2 linked regions of the Cricetulus griseus genome follow. The protein of the gene in region 1 interacts with the protein of each later gene in a biochemical or structural test. Links are inferred from orthologs where the notes say so. Each region holds a gene or a part of one and is shown on either strand. Other genes may lie near its edges. The genes, in order: Sh2d1b and Slamf1.

What was found.
Region 2: the proteins of Sh2d1b (region 1) and Slamf1 interact in a test that uses a peptide from one of them, tested with the Homo sapiens proteins (2 studies listed by BioGRID). The link is inferred for Cricetulus griseus from reciprocal best matches to the Homo sapiens genes SH2D1B and SLAMF1.

Annotation. Positions count from the first base shown.
Region 1 is NC_048598.1:22,566,622-22,571,091, reverse strand, and holds the start of Sh2d1b (SH2 domain-containing protein 1B), read left to right. Parts: upstream 1-1,528; 5' UTR 1,529-1,720; coding exon 1,721-1,854; intron 1,855-4,470. UniProt on the Homo sapiens protein: Cytoplasmic adapter regulating receptors of the signaling lymphocytic activation molecule (SLAM) family such as CD84, SLAMF1, LY9 and CD244. In SLAM signaling seems to cooperate with SH2D1A/SAP.
Region 2 is NC_048598.1:21,038,144-21,041,959, reverse strand, and holds part of Slamf1 (signaling lymphocytic activation molecule), read left to right. Parts: intron 1-1,806; coding exon 1,807-2,142; intron 2,143-3,816.

The sequences.
Region 1 (4,470 bases):
AGTAGGCCACCAGCCCTTAGCACAACTGACCTCATGATGAAAGCACCATTTAGGCCATAATACTCAGCATATAGACACTGTTACTACTCAGACATTAGTAGGCCACCAGCCCTTAGCACAACTGACCTCATGATGAAAGCACCATTTAGGCCATAATACTCAGCATATAGACACTGTTATAGAACAGTGGTTCTCAACCTTCCTAATGCTGTGATTCTTTAATATATTCCTCACGCTGTGGTGACCCACAACCATAAAATAATTTTGATGGTACTTCATAACTGTCATTTTGCTACTTTTATGAATCATAATGTAAATATCTAATATGCAGGATATCTAATATTCGACCCCCATGGGGGTTACAATCCATAGGTTGAGGACCACTGTACCCAAAATGACCTAATCCATCGAAGTCCACAGATATTGGAAAGTCTCTAAGGTACTAAGCTTGCTTTTTCGTTTCTGTAGTCTTGCTTCATGTAACAGCTCTGGCTATCCTGGAACTCAGTTTGTAGATCAGTTGGTCTTGAACTCATGGAGATCCACCTGCCTCCTGAGTGCTGGGATTAATAGAGTGTGCCATGACACCTAGCTTCCACTAACTCTTCTTGCTGAGGTGTGTTAAGCCAGGATGTGGTTTTGTGCTTAAAAGTACACCCCCAAGAAAGGCTAGGACTACACTGGGATTCTGAACACCATGTATAGCCACTGGCCAGCTAATAAAGACTTTCTATTGGTTGAAACCTGTATCCAAGCAGTCTTCTCTGATGGATGCCCCCAACAGAAATTTGTGTTTAATGCTGTTATTGAGGTCAAGAACCTATGGCTATGTCTCTAAATGGTGGCACACACCTTTAATCCCAGCACTTGGGAGGCAGAGGCAGGCAGATCTCTGTGAGTTTGAGGCCAGCCTGGTCTACAGAGTGAGTTCCAGGACAGGCTCCAAAGCTACAGAGAAACCCAGCCTCAAAAAAAAAACAAAACCAAACAACCAAACAAAAAATCCTCCAAAACCAACCAACCAACCAACCAAACAAACAAACAAACAAAACACCAAAACCCAACCAACCAACCAAACAAACAAACAATCATAAAAACTGTGGCTAGAGAGTTCCTTGTACCTAGGGAACAACCTGCTACTAAGACTTTGTGAAATGGACATGGTATTAAACGAACACTGAATGACTTATTGTATCCACAGATCAGCGCATTTATCAACCTTCATTAGAGAAGCTTACGTTAAACAGATGACGATTAACGCAGAACACAGACAGAGAAAGCCCAAGAAGATTATGGGCATCCAGTAGAGCGGGGTCTGTATTATGTTCCTTAGAGAGCACACTGATAGCCAGAAGGGATGAAAACCGCTGGGAGACAGGCTGTATATAACCTGGACCCAGGGAGTTTGGCTGCAGTGTTGCTGCTGCAGCCGCAAACACCATTGGCTGAGCTGGAAGGCACTCCCCGACTTCTGTGAGTCATGTTTGAGCCGCCCACCCCTAGGCTGAAAAGTCTTGGTCACTTCATCACCCCTCCCTTCTCATTTCCTGAGTTGTGCAAAGCTGACTGAACCCACAGAGCAATCTCATCTTGTTTGGACAACACTTGAAGAAGGGACACTTCCCTTCTTCTGCTCTCTCCACTTCCCTCTCCAGAGCCACGGCTTGGCCTGGAACTGATCTCAGGTGGCCAGGGCAGTTAAAGCATAACTTAGCTCTCCATGGATCTGCCTTACTACCATGGCCAGATGACCAAGAAAGAATGTGAAACCCTGCTCCTCAAGGGAGGGGTGGATGGCAACTATCTGATAAGAGACAGCGAGTCTATGCCAGGAGTCCTGTGCCTCTGCGTCTCGTGAGTAGCCTTGCCTTCATGAGTTGAACCCCAATGGCAGCCATCTTCTCAGGGAGCTGTGTCTCATTCTTCTTTGCAATGCTAAGGAGACAGACATGGGCCAGGAGAGGATAGAAGGATGTGTCTGCCCAGCTCTTCTGCCTGCCTTTCCCTCCCATTAGTGGCTGTCACATGAGCAGACCCCGAGACAGCACAAGTGGGGATGGAGGGGATGGAAAATGAGAGAGTGATGGGGAGAAGGAAGAACTGTAAGAATGCAATCTTCTCTCCATGTCTCTTTATTTGCTGTGGAGAAGGCTAGGGGCCCTTTATAATATTTCTGACTGAAAGGCTCTTTGGTTGCATTCACGAGAAATATTTAAAGTGCTAATATGTCATGGCTCATCAGGTTGGTCAAAGACTTTGCAAGCAGCATGTCTTTGTTTCTTTTTATCCTTTCGGAGGCCTTTTGAGGAAAGTAGATGCTGTTGTCATTTTATAGATGAAGAAATAGAGAAACACTGAATCCTTTTTCATGCCTGTTCCAGAAGACATCGAGGAAGACTTCATTGCAAGCCTTTTTGACAGGTGTAGTGATGGATGTAGTGGGGACTTCGTTTGGGGACAGACAGTGGGCTTAACTCTGAATCAAGTGTGAGCAAGTAGGAATTCATAGCAAGGAGCAGGATGGGGGCAGTACACAGAAAAAGTACTATGAGGAAACTTCAGAGAGAAGGAAACACTAGCTAAAAGGACCCCGGGATTTTAGCTGAGTAAAGGCCACTGTGCTTAGATGTCATCTGGGGGCTGGTGGCAGATGGAAGATGCTGATGAGATACTGAGGGTGCTCAGATAGTATCGGAGCAGGAGACTATGAGAAAGCTGAATTTTGTAAGGAAATGCACAGGTGGGCCTAGAAGGTTTAGGAGCTTGACTGAAGTCCCGGCAAACAAAGAAATGTTGTCACTGTAAGGGGAGAGATCTTGTGCTTCTTAGAGCTTTGGAGAAAGTTAAGAAGGCAAAAGTGATTGTCATTATTAATTGTTACACAGGCCCTTTGTTTCTTAAATGGTGCCTGGAGAAATGGGTGTGAGAAAGATAGCATTAAGTCCATCTTTGCTTCTTAAGCTGAAAGTGATGCTCAGGTTTTTGGGTTTTTTGTTTGTTTGTTTGTTCGTTTGTTTTTGTTTTTTCTCCCCCAGATTTTTTTTTATTTGAATTAGAAACAGGATTGTTCCCTTCTCCCTCCTGTCCTTCCTTACCCCTCCCCCCAACTAAAACCCTACCTATCACATATCCTTTCTGCTCCCCCTGGGTGGTGATGCGTTCCATAGGGGTCATCAGAGTCTATTGTATCCTTTGGGATAGGGCCTAGGCCCACCCCCGTGTGTCTTGGCTCAGGGAGTATCCCTCTATGTGGAATGGGCTCCTAAAGTCCACACCTATGCTAGGGATAAGTACTCAACTACTACAGGAGGTCCTGTAGATTTCCAAGTTTTCCTCACTGAAATGCATGTTCCTGGGGTCTAGTTCAGTCCCATGCTGGTATCCCAGCTATCAGTCTGGGGAGCAAGAGTTCCCTGATGCTCAGGTCAGCTGTTTCTGTGGGTTTCACCAGCCTGGTCTGGACCCCTTTGCTCTTCACTCGTCCTTCTCTGCATCTGCATTCCAGTTCAATTCAGTGATTAGTTGTGGGTGTCTGCTTCTACTTCCACCAGCTGCTGGATGAGGGCTATCAGGTGGCATATAAGTCAGCCATCAATCTCATTATCAGGGGAGAGCATTTAAGGTAGCCTCTCCTCTGTTGCTTAGATTGTTAGCTGGTGTCATCCTAGTAGATCTCCAGACATTTCCCTAGCACCTGATTTCTCTGTAAACCTAAAATGTCTCCCTCTATGATGGTATCTCCATTCTTGTTATCATCTATTCTTCCCCTGACTCCGCCTTTCTGCTCCCTCATGTCCTCTGCATCCCTCATCTTCTCCCCTTCTCATTCTCCTAGTTTCCTCTCCCCCTCTGTTTGTTTGCTTATGTGTGTCCATCTGTGGTTCCACATGTCAGAGGCATGGTCTCCATGTAGTGATGTTAAGACACGAAACACGAAACAAGGGGAGACAATAGGTATTGGAACTATTGCCCTTGGAAGGATCTTGGGGGACGCTGGGTTAGTTCTTCCTAAGTGGGCAGTTATAAAAATAAGACTGGCCCTTCCCCTGACCCCTGTTCTGGTTTCCCGTGATCTCTCCCTCTGATGATGTCATTTGCCGCTATGTGATACAGACAAGTGGGCCTTCACCAGAACTGGGGCCATACTGAGGAGATGAGCAGCAAGTGCTGGGATTTGGAACTTCAAACTGATAAGCAGAAAGTGCTAACCCCAACGTGGAGAATAAGACCACTACCACAATTGGAGCCAAATTTAAAGCAAGCTTGATTTTTAAAATTGGGGTGCACTCAAGAGTTGACTAGAAACTGCCTCCTAAGTCAGATTATAGAGATCAGCCCTGAATCCATTTCTTGGGCTCCTTTTAAGGAGTAAAATCATGAATAGATTTACAGAGGAGAGACAATGGGCCAATGAGGAAATACAAAAAGAAATCTCAAAAACAAAACAAAACAAAACATCATGTGGTCACC
Region 2 (3,816 bases), about 1.5 Mb from region 1:
TCCGTGGTACAAATACTGGGGGGTTAGCTGGAAGACAGTGGTAGCAGCTAGGCCTGTGGTGTTGGGGTAGCAGGCATGGCATGGGAAGTGCGTCTGTGTCAGACCTAGGTGGAAATTAGAGCCAGCAGGGCTTTCTATCAGGATCAAATGCGGAGTGTAACGACAGACTGAGGGATGCTCCAATGTTCTGGCCTGAGAAACTGGACGAATATTCACGTTTGAACAGAAAGCTCTTTGCTAAAGTCAGCTGCCGTTTAAACCTCCACATGCATATCTTTGCAGGCAGTAGAGGACGAGGCAGGGAAAGGAATAGCCATAAGATACAACTGTAAATACTGCAGAGATATGTCAAACTGTGCAGCTAAATGAGAAACTGAATAGGTGAAAATAAGGAAGAGAAGGAAGCCTGAGCCGAGGCATAGTCTGATATTCAGATTATCTGAAGAAAACAAAAGTTTCCCCCAAGGAAACTAAGAATGATAAAAAGAACAAAATAGCAAGTCAGGGAAGTGTAGTATCTCAGGGACCAAATGCAGAGTGTTTAAAGGAGGGATGATGAGCTACGTCTATCGGGTGTTCCTTGAGAAACACTCAAGATAATGATGGAGAATTAACTGACTTGGCTCTGTGTAACAGAGAGATATGGACAAGTGTGATGCAATGAGAATTTGGGGCAGAATACTTCTTTGGAATGGGCACAGGGGAAACTGGGTCAGGAAGTAAAAGCAGAAAACATAAACAGACATGCAAGAACCTTCCAGAAAGAAGATGAAAATGGCCAAGTGGCTGAGGACGGACCTGGGATCAGAGGAGAGATTTGTTTTGTTTTTTGTTTTTGCTTTGTTTTTAAGACAGGGGCAATTAAGTGTTTGTATGTATGGGCTGGTGAAAGAAATCCAGAAGACAATGAGAACACAGGGGATGGCTTAAAGAGGAAACCTGAAAGCCTGTGAGTGTTCCTTGAGGGGAGAGGCTAGCCTTGGGAGAGAGCACAGCCCATTCCTCCAGGTAGACAGATCGACTGGGATTTCCATAGATTGAATCTTACTTTTTTATTTCTTCTGTATTTTTTCAGTGAAACAAAAAGGGCAGTCACCCCCTGCAAGAGGAGGCAGAAAGGCGGCTTATGGGTTTGAGCCAAGAGGAGGTATTAAATAGTCAGCGCTAGAACCCCTTAGAGTGGTTTGAAAGGTTTTTGGGGTTTTGTGGGTTTTTTAACACCCTCCCCCCCACCTTGTTCTTGTTGGTTCAGCTTTTTTTTTGAAAAGGAAAATAAAATAATATCTTAACCTTACCATTATTAATTATCTTGGATATTTTTGAAGAACTGGGATTCCAGTTTGGACATGAAGGGCACCACCTCCCTAATTTCCACAGTCCTCCTACCCTTCTTTGCTTCCTGTCACCTGGCTTAGTGCTTTGGGAACTACGATGCCCTGGGCTCCTTTTTACTGTTATCCACTCTTTACCAAGCATGCTGAGTGTTGGCAAGAACCTTGGCAGAGAAATTATAGACTGAGACTCTAGTCCTGGCTCTGCCCCTTACTAACGTGACTTTAAGGAAGTCATTTACTTCTGCCTTCTGTTCAGCCTGAGTTGACAGAACCCTGGCGAAGTAATTGTAGGATTTCCATTGGATGCTTTGAAACACTGAAGTTATGCTTAGGATCCTGGTGGTAGTCCTTGTAGACTACAAGGTGGTAATTTGAGATTGTTCAAAAGAAGAGGTGAGCCTCAAGCCTGTCATTCTCTGTCTGTTCTCCAGTTCTTGCATCATAAGGAATTATCTTCCCTTTCTTCCCACAGGTAGAGGTGTGATGGACTGCTCGGTGATTATCCAGCCACTGGGAAGTGACACGTGGCTGTCCCTGACAAATCAGATAAATAAGAGTGCTAACAAAAGTGTTCGAATCCTTGTCACAATGGCAACGTCTCGAGGAAGCAAAACCAACAAGAAAATAGTGTCATTTGACCTCACTAAAGGGGGCTATCCTGATCACCTGGAGGACGGCTACCAGTTCCAACCAGAAAACCTGAGCCTGGGGATCCTGGCAAACAGGAGGGAGAATGAAGGATGGTACTTTGTGAGCTTGGAGGAGAATGTGTCCGTTCAGCAATTCTGCATGCAACTGAAACTTTATGGTAAAAATGGGAGTTTTCACACTTCTTTCACACAGGAGGCCTAGAAGACTTAGGCCTTTCTCAGAAGCAGAGTATCTGCAATTGGAAGCAACTCAAAAGATCTGGTCCAGAGAGTATTTAAGCTTAAGGGAAAAACTTTGACAGGCTGACATTAGTTGGTTAGTTATATTCCAAACTGCCCATCGGTGGAGGCTGAATTGATTCCTGCTTTGAAAGGAAGGAAGCCCACTGTGTGGGCCTGAAGGGCTGGCTTTCATCTCTAACGGGCTTAGTCTGCATATCAATTTTTTAATAAAAGCTTTTTGTTCCCTATCAAGCCCAAAAGTACGAAGTTTGAATCCAACTGAACAAGCCTATCCTCTCTGTCATTGCCAGGGTCCCCGACTCCAGGGGCAAGTAGTTTTGCACGTGCTTACCCACATTTGTGTAGGCTGTTTGCTGAAGCAGAGGTTCTGAGTAAAGAAAGCTGACATTCCACCCACAGGCAGCTCACCAAGCTCAGAGCCCTGGGGGAGGCTTCCACCTACATGGTGAAAGAAACACCTTTTTTTCCCCCTCATTTGAACCAGGATCTGGTTATGTAGTTGTTTAGTTGAGGGACTGTAGAACCTACATCTTCCTGACTCCAGTGCTCTCTGAGTCCCTCTAACCTCTGCTCCTGTCCTTGAAGACACCTTGCATTCCTATCTCCTAGGCCCAGAGCCTCATCTGCTTTCCAAGGCTTGCTGGCATCTCTGTGGGGCTTCCCTGATCTTTCAAAGGGATCTCTTACACCACCAAGGATGGGATGGGAAGTCCACAGCTAGCATTTCGTTGAAACATTCAGTTATCTAGGAGAGAAACAGAAACATCTTGACTCCCTCCTGCCCCAGTGTTTCCCTCCTGCAAATAGAGAATGCAGAATACCCATAGTTCTCTGCTGAGTGTGCATGGAGGCCACACAGCATGTGTAAGGCATGTCATATGATCTGTCCCTTTGTTCTTATAAGTTTTCTGACTTTGTCAAACCTTATATAATAAGTTGGGTACTTTGGGAGCTGTGTTCTCTGCAGCCATGACTTTCATTAGCGAGAGGGGGAAGGGGAGGGCTGATTTCAGAATCTGATGAAGGTACTTATTTCAGCCTGGCCACTTAGAAGCTGTATAATGTCAAACAAGACATGCCATTTCTCTGAGACTCAGTTTTCTCATCCACAAAATGGGAATAATTATTTTTAGTTATACCTATTGAGAGAATTAAAGAAGATGAATATGAAATGCCAGCAATGTGCTGGTCCTATAGTAGCTGTAATAAGCACAACCTCCCTTTTTACCTTGCCTATCTCATGGCTTTAGAACTGTATGGATTGATAGGGCCTGTGGCTGTGATTGAAAACCTACCACTGCCTTAGACCCACAAAGCCCTTGCTACACACACATACATACATACACACACCACACACACACATACCCCTATACCATACACACACCACATACACTCACATATACACACCATATACACAAACACACCACACAACACCTCACACACACCACATACACACATTGAATACACACACACACACACACACACACACACACACACACACACACACCACTTAGGCTCAATGAAATCCAACCACTAAAAACTCATGCTTTTAGCTCTAAGAGGCTGTACTTTAAGCCAATGAAAACCTG